Neodiprion lecontei: one gene and its partners. The protein of the gene in region 3 purifies or fractionates together with the protein of the main gene of each other region. This does not show direct contact. Links are inferred from orthologs where the notes say so. Each region holds a gene or a part of one and is shown on either strand. Other genes may lie near its edges. The genes, in order: protein penguin, nucleolar GTP-binding protein 2, nucleoplasmin-like protein and 60S ribosomal protein L14.

The links.
Region 1: the proteins of nucleoplasmin-like protein (region 3) and protein penguin purify together in Homo sapiens (affinity purification with mass spectrometry; 3 studies listed by BioGRID and IntAct, counting the BioPlex papers as one, with this or other methods). This does not show direct contact. The link is inferred for Neodiprion lecontei from reciprocal best matches to the Homo sapiens genes NPM1 and PUM3.
Region 2: the proteins of nucleoplasmin-like protein (region 3) and nucleolar GTP-binding protein 2 purify together in Homo sapiens (affinity purification with mass spectrometry; 3 studies listed by BioGRID and IntAct, counting the BioPlex papers as one, with this or other methods). This does not show direct contact. The link is inferred for Neodiprion lecontei from reciprocal best matches to the Homo sapiens genes NPM1 and GNL2.
Region 4: the proteins of nucleoplasmin-like protein (region 3) and 60S ribosomal protein L14 purify together in Homo sapiens (affinity purification with mass spectrometry; 3 studies listed by BioGRID and IntAct, with this or other methods). This does not show direct contact. The link is inferred for Neodiprion lecontei from reciprocal best matches to the Homo sapiens genes NPM1 and RPL14.

Annotation. Positions count from the first base shown.
Region 1 is NC_060263.1:34,674,026-34,678,815, reverse strand, and holds protein penguin, read left to right. Parts: upstream 1-1,790; 5' UTR 1,791-2,016; intron 2,017-2,186; 5' UTR 2,187-2,207; coding exon 2,208-4,136; 3' UTR 4,137-4,268; downstream 4,269-4,790. Other genes in the region: ruvB-like 2, read right to left, coding at 16-448, 514-948, 1,065-1,178, 1,613-1,618. UniProt on the Homo sapiens protein: Inhibits the poly(ADP-ribosyl)ation activity of PARP1 and the degradation of PARP1 by CASP3 following genotoxic stress. Binds to double-stranded RNA or DNA without sequence specificity. Involved in development of the eye and of primordial germ cells.
Region 2 is NC_060265.1:21,566,119-21,571,081, forward strand, and holds nucleolar GTP-binding protein 2, read left to right. Parts: upstream 1-1,663; 5' UTR 1,664-1,823; intron 1,824-2,161; 5' UTR 2,162-2,166; coding exon 2,167-4,344; 3' UTR 4,345-4,456; downstream 4,457-4,963. Other genes in the region: actin-interacting protein 1, read left to right, coding at 4,963-4,963. UniProt on the Homo sapiens protein: GTPase that associates with pre-60S ribosomal subunits in the nucleolus and is required for their nuclear export and maturation.
Region 3 is NC_060260.1:25,712,144-25,718,677, reverse strand, and holds nucleoplasmin-like protein, read left to right. Parts: upstream 1-1,863; 5' UTR 1,864-2,045; coding exon 2,046-2,067; intron 2,068-2,355; coding exon 2,356-2,471; intron 2,472-3,205; coding exon 3,206-3,419; intron 3,420-3,917; coding exon 3,918-3,994; intron 3,995-4,264; coding exon 4,265-4,339; coding exon of another isoform or gene 4,340-4,366; exon of another isoform or gene 4,367-4,585; intron 4,586-4,969; coding exon 4,970-5,077; 3' UTR 5,078-6,027; downstream 6,028-6,534. Other genes in the region: nucleotide exchange factor Sil1, read right to left, coding at 1-304, 539-777, 870-1,147, 1,427-1,562. UniProt on the Homo sapiens protein: Involved in diverse cellular processes such as ribosome biogenesis, centrosome duplication, protein chaperoning, histone assembly, cell proliferation, and regulation of tumor suppressors p53/TP53 and ARF.
Region 4 is NC_060261.1:38,009,686-38,013,565, forward strand, and holds 60S ribosomal protein L14, read left to right. Parts: upstream 1-1,885; 5' UTR 1,886-1,933; coding exon 1,934-1,936; intron 1,937-2,341; coding exon 2,342-2,443; intron 2,444-2,756; coding exon 2,757-2,951; intron 2,952-3,138; coding exon 3,139-3,321; 3' UTR 3,322-3,361; downstream 3,362-3,880. Other genes in the region: intraflagellar transport protein 56, read right to left, coding at 1-94, 174-423, 784-1,310, 1,478-1,480; uncharacterized protein LOC107216589, read left to right, coding at 3,558-3,669, 3,738-3,880.

The DNA of each region.
Region 1 (4,790 bases), on a different chromosome or scaffold from region 3:
AATATAAAACTCTACCTCTATTAGTGGCCATTATAACGACAGGTGCCATTTCATTCTCAAGGGCTCTATTGAGGAATGAAAAGCACTCGATATCCAGCATGTGTACTTCATCAATGAAGAGAACACCAGGTACGATTTCAGCTTTTCCTTCTTCTCGCCATTCTGCAACCTTAGCATTTATCTGATCCCGTACTTCAGACTTTATTTCCCCCGTATCTCCGGAAAACAGTGCCAAAAATCCGTGAGTTCTGCTGTTAATAACGTCAACTTCGTGCAAAGTAACCGTATGTACCACTTCCTTTCGTTTTTGGAGCTCTCCTTCTGGGCATTGAACAAAACGGGTTTGTGATCCCGTCGCATCGTAGTCCCGAGCTCGTGTGAACGAACGGCCAAGTCTGTTAATTTTTCCAGTGGCTTTATCAATCGTTATAACATCTCCAGCTTGTACCTTTAATGGAAACATTTTTCATTTAAATTTTGTCGATAATTTATAACTGTTTTCACTTTACTTACCTTTTCCTTCATCAGGCTATCAATCATTTTATTGCCCAGATCGTAAATGGTTTCCATCTCGGTTGTTTTCAATGTCAACTTTCCTACTTTAGCGCCAACACCGGTAGCTGGTCTGTCAACTTGAATCTCTACTACCTCCCCTTCGATAATTTCCGTTTCCTCTTTGATTCTCACTCCAATTGATTTTCGTATCGCCTGAGTTAAAGCTTCAGTTTTACCCATTTCTAAGGAATAAATCTCCGAGCCTGCCATTGACGTGAACGGAGTATCTAGACCAAGAGCTTGGGCCATTCCCATCGCAATTGCAGTTTTACCAGTGCCCGGTTGTCCAGCCAACAAAATTGCTCGTCCTGCGATCTTTCCATCCTTGATCATTTCGAGCACAACACCTGCTGCTCTCCGAGCCATGAGCTGGCCCACCATACCTTGAGAAACCTGCGAGTAATTCATCTTTGTTGTAACGAAATTTGTACATGATATTTGCTGAATTCCGAGTTATTGATACAAGGCTGGGATACATTGCAAATATAATATATTATTGTGAATCTTACATTGCGCGGCTCTAAACTGTCATCCAGTCCCAAACCTCGAATGTGAGAATGAGCGCCAATGCGCTCGATTCTAGTGATCTCACGAACTTCTTGCACCTTTGCTGCAGCGACGGCCTGGAATAAAGTTTTTTTTGTTACTGAATTTGGTTCTTGGATACCTTTAATGTTGTCTAATCTAAGTATAAAAAAATAACAACCAACGGATTGTCAGTGGTAAATGTGATCAAATGAATAGTTAGTGTGATCTTCAATTTTTAAAACATGCCGCAGTAAACGATTGCAATAAAATTTAGCATTGAATCACATTGAAATGACGGAAGACTGTGTTGATCGTCGCAAATTTGTAGGTTACCGTTCACGCGTGCCAAACGCCGCATGTCGACACGGTTATGTTTTGAAGAAGAAGGTTTTTTGAAAAGACGAATTTACAGAGTAAGCTTCAATCAATAAGCTAGTAGGAAAATATCAAATTTATCAATCTTTTCGCCGAATTCTATGCGAAAAATAATAATTTAAATGCATAATATCTACGACGCATTTCCACTTACCGCCATGATTTACAACTCTGTTGACTGATCGTAAAGTTGCCAAGGAAACAGTTTTCTGCATGCGCCACGCATCGCTGTAGGGTACATTTTTACGGGTAGCGAAACCTTGCGGTAGTATTTAGCGTCATTTTATTGCCGCAGCGCCACGCTGCGACAGAAAGTAACTAACCGTGAAATGTGTCTGCAGCTCAACGCAACTGCTACCTCGTGAATCCTATTACCAGAATTCAGAAAGCCAAGCAAAGCCAAGTGCACGCCACGTGATCGTACATTGGCGCAATAATTTACACCTTAGCTTAGTGATTCTATGGTGCGGTTTATTAATTTATAAATATCCGATAATTCACTGACTTTAGTATAATTACTACTGATTTGCTTACGCTGTTCGAAATTCAGTCTGAGAAGTAAGTATTTCCAAAATTTAAACTCAATTTTCATAAATCGGTGTCGTCTTTAATAGGTTATGTTTTGCACGCACGTTGTTCGAAATGTTTGAAATACTTGCAGAAGCATCAGAAAGGTAGAAACAATACGTTACGCTAGATAAATTTTACGTACAATTTTTCTTTTCAAGTTACAGGTAAAAATCGTCATCATGAAACGCCGGGAAAAGGAAGCAGTGAGCCTTAAACCGATAATTAAAAAAGCTAAAACGGCTGTCGACCCTACTGCCAAAGTGAATATCATAAAAAGTTCAGATGCGAAGCTAAAGAAGGTGAACATCTCACAAAAAAATGACGCTTTGGAGAAAAAAGGTAAATTCCAAAAACCAACTGCTGCAAAGAAACCTGCCAAGGCAGACAAGTCACAGAAATTGTTTGACAAGATTAATAATAAGAAGAAAAGACTACAAACTCAGGTTCAATACAAATCTATAAATGGTAGCACAGACACAACTGAGAAACCAGATTGGTTAGAGTTTAAAAAACAGAAGAAAGAACTGCGGGAAAAACGAAGGGAAAAAAGACTGACGAATGCGTATGATGTTACCGTCAAAGCTAAGAAGATTGGTGAAAAATTACGCAGAGCAGATTGTTCTAAAGAAGAGCGTGTAGAGCTCACAACGCAGCTATACGAATTACTCAAGGGACAATTTAGTAAACTTGTCTTCATGCATGACATGGCAAGGATTGTTCAATGGCTTCTCAAGTACTGCACTTCTGAGATAAGAAAAAATGTTACTGATGAATTACAGAAAAGTATTGTTCTAATGTTACAGTCGAAGTATGCCAAGAATTGTGTCAAAACATTGTTGAAGCATGGGACAGATGAAATTCGAGCTATGATAATTGCGGCGTGTAGTGGCAATATAGTTAGGCTAGCAAGCCATTCAGTATCTGCACCAGTACTTGAACTTGCATATTCATCTTGGGCGACCGATGCAGATAAATTATATTTTAAACAAGAATTTTATGGTGATATGTACAAACTAGCCAAGGACAGTCAAATCAAAACACTTGCTGATGTCTATAAGCTTGCAGGAGATATGAAATCTGCAACTCTCTCAGCTGTCAAAGGAAATTTGATAAAAATACTAAATAAGAAGCTGATTAACACCTCCCTTGTACATTCTGTGTTGCTTGAATTCTTAAGGAATTGCACCAAAGATGATAGAGATGAAATGATCACTATGGTCCGAAGTTTGATTGCAGAATTATCTCAGACAAAGGATGGTGCTAAGTCTGCAATGATTTGTTTGTGGCATGGTACAAAGAAAGACAGAAAACTTGCGATGAAGGCATTGAAAGATCAAGTCAAGAATGTGGCGACAAACGAGCATGGTCATATGGTGTTATTAGCTTTGTTTGACTGCATTGACGACACAGTTCTCGTGAAGAAAATGATATTGACAGAATTGCTGAATGATCTGACAGAAATTGCGTCAAATGAATATGGCAGATGCGTAATTCTATATCTTGTTGCTAGAAGGGATTCACATTATTTTCACCCGAAAGTAATCGAACAACTTAAAAAAGGTGATGCCAATGAAACTAGTAAAAAGCCACCAGAAATACGAGCAAAAGAGCTATTGGACGCAGTAATTGATAAGTTGTTAGAAACTGTTACTACAGAAGTATCGACATGGCTATCAAATAGTTCAATATCAATGGTTACGTTGGCAATATTGAAAGCAGGGGATGGAGAGAAGCTCAAAAATGCTCATGAAACTATTAGAGATTATATAACAGATCCAGAATCAGTAATAATGGAAAATGAAAAGGAACAGAAGGTAATTGAATCTTCTGGGCTTCACATGATGCTGAAAAAATTGATACAGAATGATAAAATACTTATTGAAAACAAGAAGTCTACCTTCGGAGAGGTATTGATTGACAAATTGAACCCAGAAGTAATGAAACAATGGATTGAATTCAACAGAGGCTGTTTTCTACTCATAACATTGATAGAAAATAGTGGTGAGACCACAGCCAACATTGTATTAACTAAACTGAAACCTCTACAAAAATCTTTAAAATCTAAAAAAACACCAGGAGCATCTATATTATTAAAAAAACTCAAGTAATGCCTCTGTGTTGAGAGCATCAAATGTGTGTTTCAAAAAATGTACATTATTTTGTTTTAGTTGTTTATTTCAAATCTACTATTTGCAATGATGTAAGCAACATTAGATCTTATAAATATAATGTTTGATTCACATCGTTTTTTTATTTTTTATTTATTACAGACATCGTTTAACATGAAACTCGATTCGAAATTGATTTATTAAATATTTTCTGCAATATAAATAAGTAGGCTAAGTTACATAATTCTTTTCTAAGGGTAACCATGACGCATAACTCATTAAATGTGAATTCATCGTCGTTATACGATACCATTCTATCAAGTTCACTAAAAATTAGCTAAAAATTGATTAAACTTTAGCTATAAAGACTGGCTTGAATGTTAGAGCAGGGCAACAGAATTAGCATAATGAAATCTAGAGGAATTATTCGAAAATTAACTAAACAAATAAGAGTTTAAATTTTGTTTTGTTTTGATTTCACCACGTTAATATTGTATAATTATACGAATAGGCATATATTAATACCAGTTTATAATACATATAAGTAAATATATTTAAAACTTCAATTCCTATCTGATGTTTCTAAACCGTAGCAAAATTTAATACCTTTTTCAGTTGAAAAACAATATTACTAAGTTCACTAGCGATAAGATG
Region 2 (4,963 bases), on a different chromosome or scaffold from region 3:
GGGCGTCTCAGTGTACATACGCACCTATATAAAATTACAGCTATGAAACCGCATCGACATTTTAAAGAACGAAAAATATACCATTGTTATCATTGATGATACCTTAATGTCATAAATGATGATTGATGTGTCTGTATCAAATAGTCCAACTAGAAACTTTTAATGTTAAAGTTATTCGAACGCGTTCCAGGCGTTCAGTTTCATTCAGCAACGCAAAAATGTGGATCAAATTGTTACTGTTGATTCTTACATAGTATCGTTGCTGCCGTGGGAAAGTAATTCGTCGGATTCCTCGTTCCGAAACGATATGTGGATATACCTTACATTTTCAATCATCGGTTTAATCATTTTCTAGCATTTGACTGATACCAATTTGAAAAAAATAACTTCCAGAGTATCCATTAATTCTCCTCTTATACCTTGACTCCAATAATTAGGAAACAATGGAGTTGTATTTTACCGTATAGTACCGTATTCATAGTAAAAGACGAGTTGCTGCATATGTATTTTTGTGAGTGATTACTGGTGGTGATTTATATCGATGTATACAGCACGAGTATACAGACTTCCGGATTGAATGACCATTATTATTCCTCTCCAATGCGCTGAAAAAATTTCTAATTGTGAGTAAATTAAATTAGCATCACGGTGGTGAATACAATTTTTTATACGACGCAACAACAGGGAAAGAAACACGTCCGAAGTCATAAATTATTTTATTTCCGAAACCAACACAGCTTATATTTATCCATTTTCTTTTATAACTATTATTTGACCAGCTTGTAAGTTCCTATAATTGCTCACGATATTTACTTTTGAGCTGTAGTGAATAGCTGGTAGCAGAGTCCCTATAGGTTTTCTATTCTACAAGGTATAAGCCACTGACAAATTATGTTTGCGCAGGACAGAATGGCAGTGATAACTATAATTTATGATCGCCCTGTGGGTTCCTGTAATTGCTCAGGATGTTTGCCTTTGAGCAGTAGAGAATAGGTAGGTTTTTTTTAAATCTAGCATGTCCTTTAGATTTTCCTTTCTGTTGAAATAATAATCCATCAAAGGAAGAGCTTATGAGAACCTCCTTAATCTGAATCTCTTGGAATCTTCTCATTAAGATTGTTTGGGATGAATTCAGTTGCTTCAATTTAAATTCTACGAATATAAATAAACTATTAGTAAAACTGAAAATCAGCGAACCTCAACTTACAAGTCTTTGTGGAAGACACAGACGTTGTCCTATCATTACAAGATTAATTAAATCCGTCTGCAATTAAAAATTGGAGCATTTTAATTTTTTCGTTTATACTGCAATATATTTTTCCATGTATTATGTCTACGTTAAACTTGATGCTAAGGGAAAAATACTTCGTTTCAGTCACACTGTTTGTAAACTCTGATGCCTAGATAATAATATATTTTTTTTAGGTATTTTTCGCTACCTAAAAAAAATTTATGAACTCAATTTCTCGTTGAAGATAATTTAAGAAAATGCATTGATTCCAAACGGCGTTAACATACTTTTAGTCAACGTTTGCTGCAACAAAATAGTATCAATCCTTATAAGATGTCGATAATTTTATGCGTGTGTGGATGCGTAGTGTATCAGCATAATTGCGTATCTTAGCCACCGCTACACGGATTTGCTGTGTTGCTGATGGCACGTGCAGCAAGCACTGGCCGCCAGACGGCAGCTGTGGACGAATATCAAAGATTCATAAGTAACATTAACCTTACATGTAGCGGTTGAGGGTGGAAATATTATCTTCGTCGTAGCACTTGGTGCTCCTATATTTTGTAATCCAGGAACCTAATACGTAAATCAGGTATTTATTAACTTGAACAATTTCATGTGGGCAGTAATAATCGATTGGTGTCCAAACGCCTTGCGTATGGGCATTATGCAGTTTTGAGGTTAAGTTGATTAACACGTGTTTTTAACGTCAATTATAAAATTTGTTTGTAATATCTATTAACGTTCCCAACAACACGTGTAATATGAATGTCGCAGAACTAGCTGTGAAATACTTCGTTCTGAAAATCTGTTTATACTGGAGAAAAAGCTACATTATTATTTAACGTTATTTGACATAACCTACCAACAACTTTTTCATCCATACTAATAACTACTAAATTTATTTTATTCTTGGTATGATGTTTTCAGAAAAAATGGTGAAATCACATTCTGCTAGTAAGGCTCCACGGAAGGAGGGATTCAACAGATCGGGGCACAGTATGAATCCTGAAAGATCGACCGAAGGGCTCAAAGGTGTAGCGAAGCCTCGAACGAAGGCGACAATTAAAAGGCTGCAAATGTATCGTAATTCGAAACCAAAGCGTAATAGAGTTGGTAAAATTATAAGTCCAGCTCCATTTCAAGGATGGCATGCATCTGGTACGGTTTCTCGAGTCGAGCCCAGTCAAAGGTGGTTTGGAAATTCACGTGTCGTTTCTCAGAATGCTCTTCAACAGTTTCAAAGTGCATTAGGAACAGCTATGAAAGATCCTTATCAGGTTGTGATGAAACAGACCAGATTGCCCGTTACTTTACTACAACAAAAAGCTGCTAATGCCAGGGTACATCTGCTCGATACAGAGAGTTTCCAAAATGTGTTTGGACCGAAGAAAATTAGGAAGCGACCTAATTTGCCCATTACAACCTACGATGATATGCAGGCTCACGTTAAGGAGAAGGAGGAAAAATATAACTCTGAGAAAGACACTAAAGATCATGATTTGATCAGACCGGATGATGGGACACGAGATGTACAGAGAGACTGGGTTATGGCTGCAGGACAAAGTAGAAGAATTTGGAATGAACTGTATAAAGTAATCGACTCATCAGATGTTGTTATTCAAGTTTTGGATGCCAGAGATCCAATGGGAACTCGATCTCCACCTGTAGAAAAATATCTAAAAACTGAAAAGACCCATAAACATTTAATTTTCATATTGAACAAGGTCGACTTGGTACCAACTTGGGTCACACAGAGATGGGTTGCAATATTAAGTGCTGAACATCCGACCCTTGCTTTTCATGCCTCGTTGACTCATCCGTTTGGAAAGGGTTCGTTGATTAATCTCCTACGTCAGTTTGCAAAGCTGCATGGAGATAAGAAACAAATTAGCGTCGGCTTTATAGGTTACCCAAATACAGGCAAAAGTTCTATCATAAATACTCTGAGATCTAAAAAAGTCTGCAAAGTTGCACCGATTGCCGGAGAAACCAAGGTATGGCAATACATTACCCTGATGCGGCGCATATATCTCATCGATTGTCCTGGCGTTGTTTATCCGTCTGCCGAAACAGATACGGAAAAAGTTCTGAAAGGCGTTGTTAGGGTTGAACTCATTACTAACCCTGAAGACTACATATCGCATGTATTGGAACGAGTGAAACCTGAATATATGCGTAAGACTTACAAACTCGACGAATGGTCAGACCACATAGACTTCTTGGAAAAACTAGCACGTCGGACTGGCAAACTATTAAAAGGCGGAGAACCTGACGTAGCAATAGCAGCACGAATGGTTCTTAACGACTGGCAACGCGGAAAGCTTCCTTTCTTTGTCCCACCTGTGGGATTTGAAAATCCATTACCTAAGAAGGCAACGGAAGAGGAGACTGTTGCTGAAGTATCGAATGAAATAAACGAAGATATTACTTCGGATAAAAATGAGGAAACTGAGAATGAGGCAGTGAAAGAACCTGTCAAATTGTCACTTAATGTTGTCCAAGATTACAGGAAGATCAGAATTGGTTTGACATTCTCAAGTGAAGACAACAGAGATGTTTTTGCTGATGAAACCGGAACTATTCAGAACGATGATAAGGATAATAATACAAGTTCAGCTGTGTCTGCAGATGACTCTCAGCCGCCTAGTGAATCTGAAGAAGAAGAAGCAGATGAAGAAGAAAAAGAAGATAATGGTGAAGGAGAGTTGTTACACCAAGAGAGAAATGACCTGAAAAAGTCTGGAAGTAAGAAATACAAAACAACAGCAAATGCTGAAGAAGAGAATGATTCATTAAAGGATGATGAGACGTTTTTTGGACCTGAGAAAGATAGCTTGATGCAAAGTGCCTTCGATGTTGTAGAAGAAGAATACGATTCTAGTGATAGTGAAGTTAGAGAGATTAAAACAACCTCCAGCAGCGGTACATTCAGCGTCTCTGACGAACCAAGGAAAAAAGAAAAAACAGATCCAAATGAAAAGAAATTAACTAGTAAGCAAAGAAGAGCTATGGAGAGATCAAATAAGAGAAAGAAAATAGGAAGCGATTTCTATGAAGTTACTAATGTAAAGAACAGAAATAGAAACAGAAAAGTTCCGAAGACAAGATAAACCCAGCACTTTGTTATCTGCTACAGTTTGACCTATTGCCCGGGTAATAATACGTTTGCCACGCCAACGTTGTTTCCCTAATCCTTACCGAATAAAAAGTGTAAATACTCAATTCTCTAGTAATTTTCACCCATTTACAATTGCATAATGCTAAAGAGTTGACTGAAGATACAAGTCAACGGATTTACCATATCTTCAGTCGATGACAAAACTACTGTCGAAATTTCATCTCATTGCATCTCACGCTTTGGAGAAACTCAACTGCATATGCTGCACTAGCTTGCCAGTCTTTTTGAAATTCAAAAAAGAACCTTTAACCAGAGACCTACTCATCTCTGCTTTAACGCGTATTCTAGTACTAGGAGTTGCCACCAGACTTCGGTAGTTTTCCAAGTCTACATTCACGTATTCTTAATCACATAGTTCATGATCCAACCAAATAAGGCGAAGGGCGGGACAAATATACCAGATGCGAAAGTGGGGGAGAGGCGGTTGTGGTGGTGATACGCGACTGATACGTGACTCAGGTGACAAATCAAGCCCGTGTGTGAAGATTCACCGGGTTTACGTATTTTTCATACTAATTAGCGGCCGGTCGCGAGGCATACAAGGGTAGAAA
Region 3 (6,534 bases):
TGCAGATATGGGACCATCTGCCAAAACCTGAGAAAATATTTCTAAGCCGCCGTGACTCAGTAGTGCTTTTTGTGCAGCTGGGTAGTTCCGGACCAGGGAACCCAGTGCATATATACATCGATCCATCAACTTCGAGGTGCCGTGTTTTGTCAACATGCGTAAAATGATTGGAACAAATTCCGACTCCAGTGCTATTTCCTTCACCTTCGGGTTTGACTGTACAGCTGCTCCGAGGACATGAAGGGCTTCACACTTGATCTCCTCTATTGTGCCATTGAGACAAGGGTGTATCACTTTCATCAGGCTGAAAATATTTACAATGTAAAGTGAAGACCGATTGTTATATGATACGAATTAATACTATAAGAATTGGCACAAGTAAAGTTTTCCTAGAAGGCAGATGAAGAGCGATGTATTAATTTCAGACTAGAAGCAACAGATTTGATGAATGGAAAATGAAAAACGTGAAAATGCTAAATTCTATTTCAAACAGTTCCATGCACAATTTCAAAAATTGTAAAATGTAGACTGTACGCACCCTCCGAATCTGGTGAATTCGAGCCCATTGTCAATGTCATGGACCAGGTATTCTAACTGACCCAATATATCCATGATGTCTTTGATCTCTTTGGCATCTAGTGATCCGGACGTAATTGCAGTTCGATGAGTATCAAACTGTTCAATGAAAATACCTAATAAATCAACGTCGGTTGACGGGCCAAAGTTTATGTTCTCATACTCCTTCTTCAGTTCATCAAAGCTCTGGAACCTGGCACGCTTTAGAAAAGAAAGGAAAATAAGATGTCAGTAATGTGGAAAATGCGACTATTTCCTGTTTGACATTAAGATAGATTTGAGCGACGAATTACTTTGGGTTTCCGTGCGAAAGGAGTCTTGTTAGACTTAATTTTTTTCAATTCGGTTTTTAATTCTTCCCCAGATATTTTCAAAGTCCTATCATCGTGCTGAATCTGTCCATCATTAATTTCCGAAGGTTTTAAATTCTCCGCGTCTGGATGTAGGGCTACGGATTTGCGCATTTCATCGTTATCCGAAATTTCTTTCTCGCTGGGTTCCATCAGTTTTGCTTCTGTAATGCCAGTTTGAAAATTATGCCGAACATGAAGACCTTTTGGGATTGGTGTGCCTGAAAATTATTAGCGTTCGTTAGGAAGCGCGGGATTCGTCGAATAATCGAGAAGCCTCAAACCCCGAAAAAGCTTTCAAAATGTGAAATATAACGGCGTATCGAATCTTATCGCACCGTGTAAAGTGGGGAATTTAATAGGGCGAATGATCTATGAGCCATATGCCGATCTCTCGTTGGTAAACGATCAATTTATGCAATCGCACGAGGCCTGTGTACTTGACTGACGTTGTAAGCACACGTCAAGTGCGAGAAAAGTAGTCCCGTTTCTCGACCTACCCTTTTCAACGACTTGCCATTCTTTGGTGGGTATAAATACACTGTCATTTTTCGATCCTTTCTCCGAAGCTACGATATCGTTGATCCAGAGATACGAGACTATGATAAACAAGCATAGATCGCACACGTAACGCATTTTCCAAGAGAACGTGTCGAATAGGCGCTGTGAGCAGGTGCCGGATTTCTTCTAGAATATACGGTTACTCATATAGGAATTAAATATCCGTTCTAAGCGACACGAGAACCCGTTAATAATATTTACAAGGGTTTTTCAATACCACGCACTCGCGCTGTCACGTTTTACAAACCGTTTGCCTATTGTTGAGAAAATTTATCTTATTAATGCAGTCGTTTTGCAAAACCTAGTTCGTCACTTCTGTCGCCAGGTGCCGTCTCGAGACCAATAGCGCGTCGGAATGACCGCAGAAGTTTGGAGGCAGGACCCAATCAGAAGGTGGAACGTACTCTAGGCGCGCAAGCCGAGGGACGCGAAACTCATTTGCTGCGAGATCGTCAAACACGTGTGACCATTCCGAGTCTCTACCCAGTTACGCGGCGTCCCTCGGCTTCAGACCCGCAACTCAAAACGTTTGAATCTGTGTATATCTAATCGATCGCCATGGCTGAGGAATATTTATACGGTAAATATTATACTCTAAGACTTAACGGATATGCTGATTTATTTATTTTCCATAAATAGCGAATACTTTCGATACATACCGTTGTTTTAACACCGTTGTATGCCTACGTGTGGACGCCGGCAGAATATCGGCCATTATGCAGGCGAATCCATTGTCTTTGTACAAAAATCTTGGTTATTATACCATTCATTATTTCTCTCATCGTCGATGTGCCACAGAATGATTATTATGTCGATTTAAATTATGCGTAAACTACATTCTTCAAGTCTTGCGTCAATTTGTATGCAGGAATCACTTTGCAAGGACCCAATGCCACCGAGGTCTGGGATCCTGAGCACAAAAACGAGGACGTTGACGGTGCTAATCAACATTTTGGCGCTGACCAAAAACTCATTATCAAAATGGTGAGTTGAAATTGTCAATCTGGTAATCAAGTATCTAATTTTTTACACTTCATCAGCTACTGTTTGATTCATTTTGTGTTACCCATCTTTAGCGCCATTGTCGCCGTGCGTACGCAATTTTGCCGATTCACATTCTCAACCTTTATAACACGCAAAATTTGATCCTAGAACAAACCAGAAATAAAAATTTATAAATAACACGTCAGTGTGTCAACAATCGATGATTTTTGTCCTTGAAAATTGTTATCGCTGTTTTTAACGCATTTTGGCGCCATTTGCATTCATCTTCTAAATTATTGTCATTCGAAAAAACTCTGAAATATCCAATTCATTGCTATTGTATACCTATTTGTTTCTGATAAGTTGCATCAATATAATAAGTATAGTCATCCCAAAAAGAAAATCTGTACTTAAATTTTGACAAGCTAATTGATTGTTTAATCGTTGCAAGTTGTAAGATCAACATCTATAATGTAAATTATTTAAGCTTGAGTCGACATTAACTAGCTGCTGTTTTTATTTAAAAAATTATGAATGACGAGCGATCAAGAATAAACAGTAACACGTTTCAATTTCTGATAAAAAGTATGTCAGCCTTGAGGCAAGCTTTGAAAGTACTGTTTATTTAATATTAATAGTTCATCAGTTTATTGCAACACTAACATTTAGCTTACGAATATGGTCAATATAATCCGATGAGGTTCATTATCTATATCTTTTTTTTGTGACTTCAGGCACTTCTGGGACCTGAGGCCAAAGCTGGCGAGTTAAACGTACTACAAGTTGAGGCGATGGGACTCAAAGGTCCAATTAAAATCCCAATTGCCTTATTGGAACTGGGCAAAACTGCACAAATCATCCTCGATCTAAGTTTCCCTGATCCACCCGTCACATTCACCTTAATCAAAGGCAGCGGTCCAGTCCATATAGTAGGACACAATCTCCTTGGTAAGTTTCATTTTGTTTCGTAGATTAATCTTCCTTCACTCCTGATATATTTGGACTAATAACACTTGCAACATCACTACCAGCTGTGTCAGCGATGCACGCTCAAGGTTTGCGAGACACCATTTGGCCGCAATCTTTTATAGACTATCGTATTTAATGAGAAAATGTTTCATTTTAATGAACTGATGCTAGTGACCAGAGTCAATGGCGACGAATAGTAATTATGCTGAAAAATTTGGAAATGAAGCCTAGCAATTGAAATTTCACTGAATCTCATGAATATTTAGTACTTTCATAGAATCATCGGATCTGAAATTTATGTATGATTATCTTTAAAAAAAAGTTTACTACATCGGCTGCTGACTGAAGTCACTAAATTCAGCTTCATCTCATTTTAGTGATCAAAAAACTATGATTACAGTTTTATTTGCACTGTATTGTATAAGAATATATTGTGTGAATATATCATGCATTAATAAACTCGATTATTCGTTACAGGGACGCATATGGATGAATTTGAAGACATGGAGGACGAAATGGAGGAAGAAAACATCGATGACGAAGATGATGAGAAGGTGAATATAAATCTAAAATTTTACAGCTTTTAGCCAGGGTTTTTCAATTAAAAATTGTCAATTTTGAAAATAAATAACCCATTCGTAATTACAATTGATTCAGACCATTGGTTATTGTGCAAAAGCAAATTAAGCGTATTGTAAACAAAAATTCTGAAATTGGATTTGTGTTAGCAATACGTTATCTTAACAATCGGTACAAAACTGAAGGAGTATGGTTAGAAGTTAGGAGACCATCATACGTTATGTGAATGGGAATTAATATTTCAGGCCTCGCATAAGAAACGGAAACTTTCTGGCGAGGGTAAAAAAAATGGCACCAAACGCGCCAAGATGGATGAGGAGGTAGACAAGGAGAACTATCGAAAATAGCATGCTTGGTCCTAGCAATAAGTTTTACATATCTTACGTTAAATACAGACTATACATTTCAAACATCAATTAAATTCGTTTTAATCATCAACTCTTCATTTCACCAGACTAGAGTGATGATAATGGTAACTTTGAAACGTACAGATGTACTTGTCTATGTTACATCAAAATAATTTAAGTTTTAATTTTTTTGAAAAATAAACAACGTCTTTGGAATAATTGTTTTTAGATTTTGCATTTTATTTCACTACCTACCATCTTGGCAGTGTGCAATATAATGGGCCTACTCTAAATGTTGTCTATACATCTTTGACTACTTTCCGGTCATTGTAATATTAAATTTTGTTTCTCAGGGTTTTATGATACATAATTTTGATCACAGATTAGGTTTTATAATTTTTTCTTTTACGACTACGAGTTTTGTTACTCGACGGTAAAAATAATATAACTATTAATTTATAAAATAATGAATTGTTATTTGAGTAGTTAAGACTGATCGGTCTGGATTTATGACACTATTGTCTCTACACTAGATTGAATTATTAGAACAGAATGCGTAATCGGAATCTGCTCTCATTAATTTCTTTGATGTTTTTGATTTAGGACCCTGAGGATGAAGAAGACGAAGAAGAAGAGCCCAAAAAGAAGAATGCGAAATTAGCGACCCCAGCTAAAAACAAAAATCAAGCTAACAAGAATAAGAAAAAATAAATCCGTGGTTTTATTACCAACACATCCTAGGCTAGGCTCTTGAATGTAAGTTCATCATCATTCGCGTTTTGCGTGTTACAGTATCGTTTCATCTGATAGTCAAAAGAGACCATTCATTATCCATTCACGGATTCTAAAATCTTGAGGCTGGGTTGTGTACATTTTTTTCATGATAACAATTGTTCTTCAATCGAAAGCAACGAAGAAGCAAAAGCAAAGAGAAAAAGATCACAGATATTAGGCACACAATCTGTTACCTTACTGAATTAATGCGTTACTTGAAGATTTCCAGACTAATTTTGTGTAAAAATACCTATAAGATGAATATGTATTTTATTCTAGCGACTATAAAAGGGTCGCGGAGCCATGACAAGGTCATCAGTGAGAACACATTTTCGAGGAATAAGTCTATATAGAAGGCAATGCAAGTTCGACTCTTCAGTATTTAACGCTTCTGCGTCTCCCTGAACATCGGAATAGCAATCTACAGCTCAGATTTGAAAGTTCGTGAATCCGAATGCTAGACAAATGATAGACTGACAGACAGACGGAGACAGATTGACGCATGTTTTAATCCTACTCTTCCGCAGCTCGACTTCCAGTCAGAAAACACAAAGCTATATTATAACACCACTTGATAATCATATTTACTTCTTATAAAGATCATGACGGAATTTTTATCCCACTGATCTAGTATATTTATTTTGAACTAAACGAGGTCTTTGATTAATTTTATGACCATTAGAAGGAGTTAAAACAGAACATTGTCATCTCTCGATATTCATTCCATTTGAAGAAAAGTAATAGCCGGCGTACAGACAGACACTATATGCACGGCGCACCGTTCTTATTTAACATGTGTTATACACAGTGTTTTCCACTTACGTGCCCATACGTCTGTATACTCTTTTGTACATATACGATACAATAAAAATTTCACTTAACTTTTACTTAATATTAATTTATTATGTAAATTTGTACAGTGCGTGACTAGACTTAGAAAACACTTTCTTGTTTGAAAAATTTTATGTCAAACCTCCCATTATCCGCGCGAGGTCTAATTTTCAAGAAAATATGAAGTGGTGTGGGTAGTTAACACTTTGAACCACGGCCTTGAACAGTTGGAGCCAGGTAAAAATCAGTGGGATCATAGTAACGATCGGTTGTTTGATATTCTATAGTTATAGTCATATTAATAATTTGTACTACTTTTACTCTTGAAATATTTGATATTTTGTAAATATATTCGAAGGAATAATTATGCTGGGATGAAGTTGGTGTGGTTGGAATTTTATAGTCGTAGGTCTTCTGGCCTGCCATTTTACGACCTCGATGAAGAAAACATTTTCAAATACGGGATTACTTCCACGAAAATTTCTAAGGTTGGTTTATGACTGTCACATGTCTTGCTCAGAGTTGATAGGTTGACAGTTAAATGGCAGGAGTTATCACTGTGG
Region 4 (3,880 bases), on a different chromosome or scaffold from region 3:
TCAAGTAATAAATGACGAGATTTAATCTAGCTTCTGGTATCACATCTACCAAGCTAGGTAATACTTGAAGAGCACCTTCGCCACCTCTGAATACCTGAAACGATGCAGAAATGAGATAATTAAGAAGTAGAATTTTTGAAAATTTTACTCTTTCACTTTCATTAAATACGTACTACTATATTATGTCGTATTAGATCATGCCCAAAGCTGAACGAGCTTGATGTTTGTTCCATAAGTTGTTTCATCTCCGCCTGAGCAGCACTGCCATTGTACAATCTGAAATGATTGCAAGCTTTCAGGTTGATGGCAATTGCGCTGTCTGGATGCTTTTGCAAATAAACTTGAAGAACTTCTTGAGCGACGTCGTAATAGTCCAGCTTGTAGTAGCACAGAGCTACATAGACGTTTAAAGCTAAGTAGTCCCTAATGAAAACATCAGTAAAAACACATTAGTCATTTCATTTTGCAAAGCTATTGATTTTTGAGATTTGCAAGGAAATCAAAGGTTCAAATGCGGGACGTAAGGATAGTGGGAATATGGATAGGATACCTGGTATTCTTTAGGAGTTCAGCTATCAAGTATACTTCGGAATCTTTGCCACTTATCGAGGATTTGTTTTTTAAATTAATTGGTTTGCTAGAATAAATAAGTGACTCGTTTCTTTTAACCTAATTTTAAAAGCACTCTGGCGATGCTTGATTAGTGAAGTACGCTTCTTTGCTAATTGTAAGCTTCAGTTTTTAATTGTGTGATGTGAATATTTTCGTTATTTGAAAACGAACCTGTTTTCCAGTAATATTTTCTTGTATATATCAATAGCCTCCTGATAGTGAGCCCTGAGATAATGGATAGAAGCGAGACACAGTTGATCCTCAATAACATCCTCCAGCATTTGGTGGTATTCCATGAGTTTTTTCTCGTCACCCATTTTGTGAGACAGATGAAAAAGAATCCTGATTTTCAAACGGCTGTCAGGAGATTCTTCTACAACGTTTAACGCTTCCGGGTACATACCAAGGTAAAAATAACAACATGCCAAATTTGTAGCGAGATCTACAGAAGTATTCCCTTTCTTTCTCATGTTTTCATATACTTTTGCAGCTCTTTTATAATCACCGAGGTGAAAGGCACAGTAACCAATCCATAAATCTGTGTTTATTGAATTTTGATCATTTCCATTATACTCCAACAACGTCAACGCTCCTGTATAGTCTCGCTTTTCAAGGAAATCCTCCAACTTAGGGATCTCCTTTCTCGAGGTGCTTTTCTTGGTGCCATCCGTAACCACAGGCTTGGCTCTAGATAGTATCTATGAATAAATTTTCATTTTCATGATTTACCATTTATCAAAATTATGCATTGCCTAACCCAGTAGCTGAGCGGTATGTAATGATTTTCCATTTTATACACAAGCGTCGAAAACATGCAACAGACTTATAATATTTATTAAGATTGTTACTGAATATTTGACATTACCATATTTGCTAATCGGAGAATATCGTTGAATATAATATGCTCACTACCTCGTAAAATGTTTCACCGTAAACTATCGCTGCCATATATAAACAAATCATCTATAAACGTCATAAGCTAATCGATGATCAGATTTGAAGCCTTGTCATTGAAATTAACTTCGGCCCCACTTGAGCTCTACTAGCGCTATCTGGCGCTTAACGTACCAACTTTCCCGCCGACTACTTGTCAGGATGTTTTTTTTTTTTATTATTCTAATTAGCGATTAATGCTAACTTAATGCGGATAAATTCTATAAAAACGAAGTTGAAATGATTTCTCCTATATTTACCTTTCCGAGAGGTTGCGGGATTCAGTAATCGTGTGGATTACACAGTCGTAAGCTTGACTACTTTTCTTTGGGCGAATGTCCGGCAAGTTCCCATTTCAGTTTTTCAGGTCTTTCGCTTCCGGTTAACCATGGTAAGCATGCTGTGGCTCTTGTTATAACGTCAGATTTCTCGTTAAAAGTATTAAATATTATTTAATTTCCATATTATTGTAACACGAACGTAATCGGGTAAACTGTGAAAATGAATATGTGGACGGAGTGTAAGAGGAGAACAGTTATTTGATGGGAATACAACCTTTTTACAATGCGGCTCATCACCAGCCACATGGCACACGCCACTATTTCATACAAGTTTATCAGCGAATCCAAACGATCTCAACGATAGTTTGGGACCGGTTCAAAAGTCTCGATTAGTCCCAACCCAATTAGCCCAATTCGCGCCAGAAATTTCTCGATTGAAGCTTCTACTCTGTGTAACCGTTTCACATGTTCTCGCACAATTCTTAGTCTTATTTACCATTCATTGTTATTTGCAGCCGTTCAAGAGGTTCGTTGAAACGGGCCGCGTCGCCTATGTCAGCGATGGGCCCCATGAAGGCAAACTTGTCACAATTGTTGACATAATTGATCAAAACAGGGTAAGATTCTCTAATTTATAATTAAATTTTTATTATTGGTGATAAGAACCGAGGTTACATTGAAAGCAAGAAACCGGTTGCTTGATTGAAAGAATTTCAACTAATATTTATGAATAGTATCTTTCAAAATCAAGATGTTCTCATTCTAAAGCTTTGTCTGGTCAACATTCTTAATGATGATCCCAAATTCTTGATAGGAATTGCCGGCTGATACATAATTGAAGATATCACAATTTTCTGAAAACATTCTGATCCACCAAACAATATTGTTATGTGGGAATGGTTGGATCTGAATTTAATCTTGTATTTCCAGGTGTTGGTTGATGGACCGGCTGCAAATATACCCCGTGGTCAGATGCGCCTTAGCCAATTACACCTGACGAAATTCCGTCTACGTTTTCCGTTCACTGGCTCGACTCGTGTTGTACGCAAGGCATGGTCTGATGGAAAAATTGATGAGAAATGGAGCGAGTCCATGTGGGCACAAAAAGTAGAAGCCAAGAAAAAGGTATGGAAGTTTTTTTTTTAATCTTCGCATGCTTATATCATTTATATGATGAACCTATATTCTTGATAGGAATTGCCGGCTGATACATAAATGAAGCCATTATTTATCTGATTTGATTTAAAATTGATCATCCTTTTGTCACAAATCCAATTCTCCAAATTAAAATGATTTGATAATAACTTCACAGCGGGCTGCCCTCAGTGACTTTGACCGATTCAAGCTGCGCAAAGCTAGACAGGTCAGAAATAAGTTGAGGACACATGCGTTCTTGAAGATTAAGAAAAAGTCGAGGAAAGGAACTAAGGCTGCCGTTACAGCACCTAAACCTGGCGCAAAGAAGCCTGCAGCCAAGAAGCCCGAAAAGAAATAATTGTACAACCTTTCGAAATAAATCCATACCATAAAAAGTATTACCTGTTTAATTATTCCGGAGATTAAATATCCCTTTGAATCAGGTTTTCAAAAACGTCGCAGTTGGCTAATTAAATGTGTGAATACAGTCTGCATTCTATTAACTTAGCAGTTGCCTTTTCATTCCTCATTGCTTTTTTCTATAGTCGTTTGTTTCTGTATAATCAAGAGAAATCTTTATAGGTAACATGTAAAATGCAGTCAAAATCCACTTCTACTGAAAACGGTGAGCCTCTTATGGCAAAGAAGATGGATAAAGTTGTATTTGAACAAATCTGTGATGCAATATTTATGTTGATACCTGAGGGTATGGCATCCCATGATTAATCATGTATGTAACTCCTATTACACATTTATATTATACCCGTTTGGTAGTGCCACGATTGAAGCAGTTGTTCTTGAGCTGGAGTCTGCTTAGTACAGAAGAAAGATCTCAACTAGATTCTAGAGTTTGTACTTGGTATAATCCCAGTCGTCGCCAACTTTATAAACCTCTTCGAGAAGCCCTAATCCGGTGG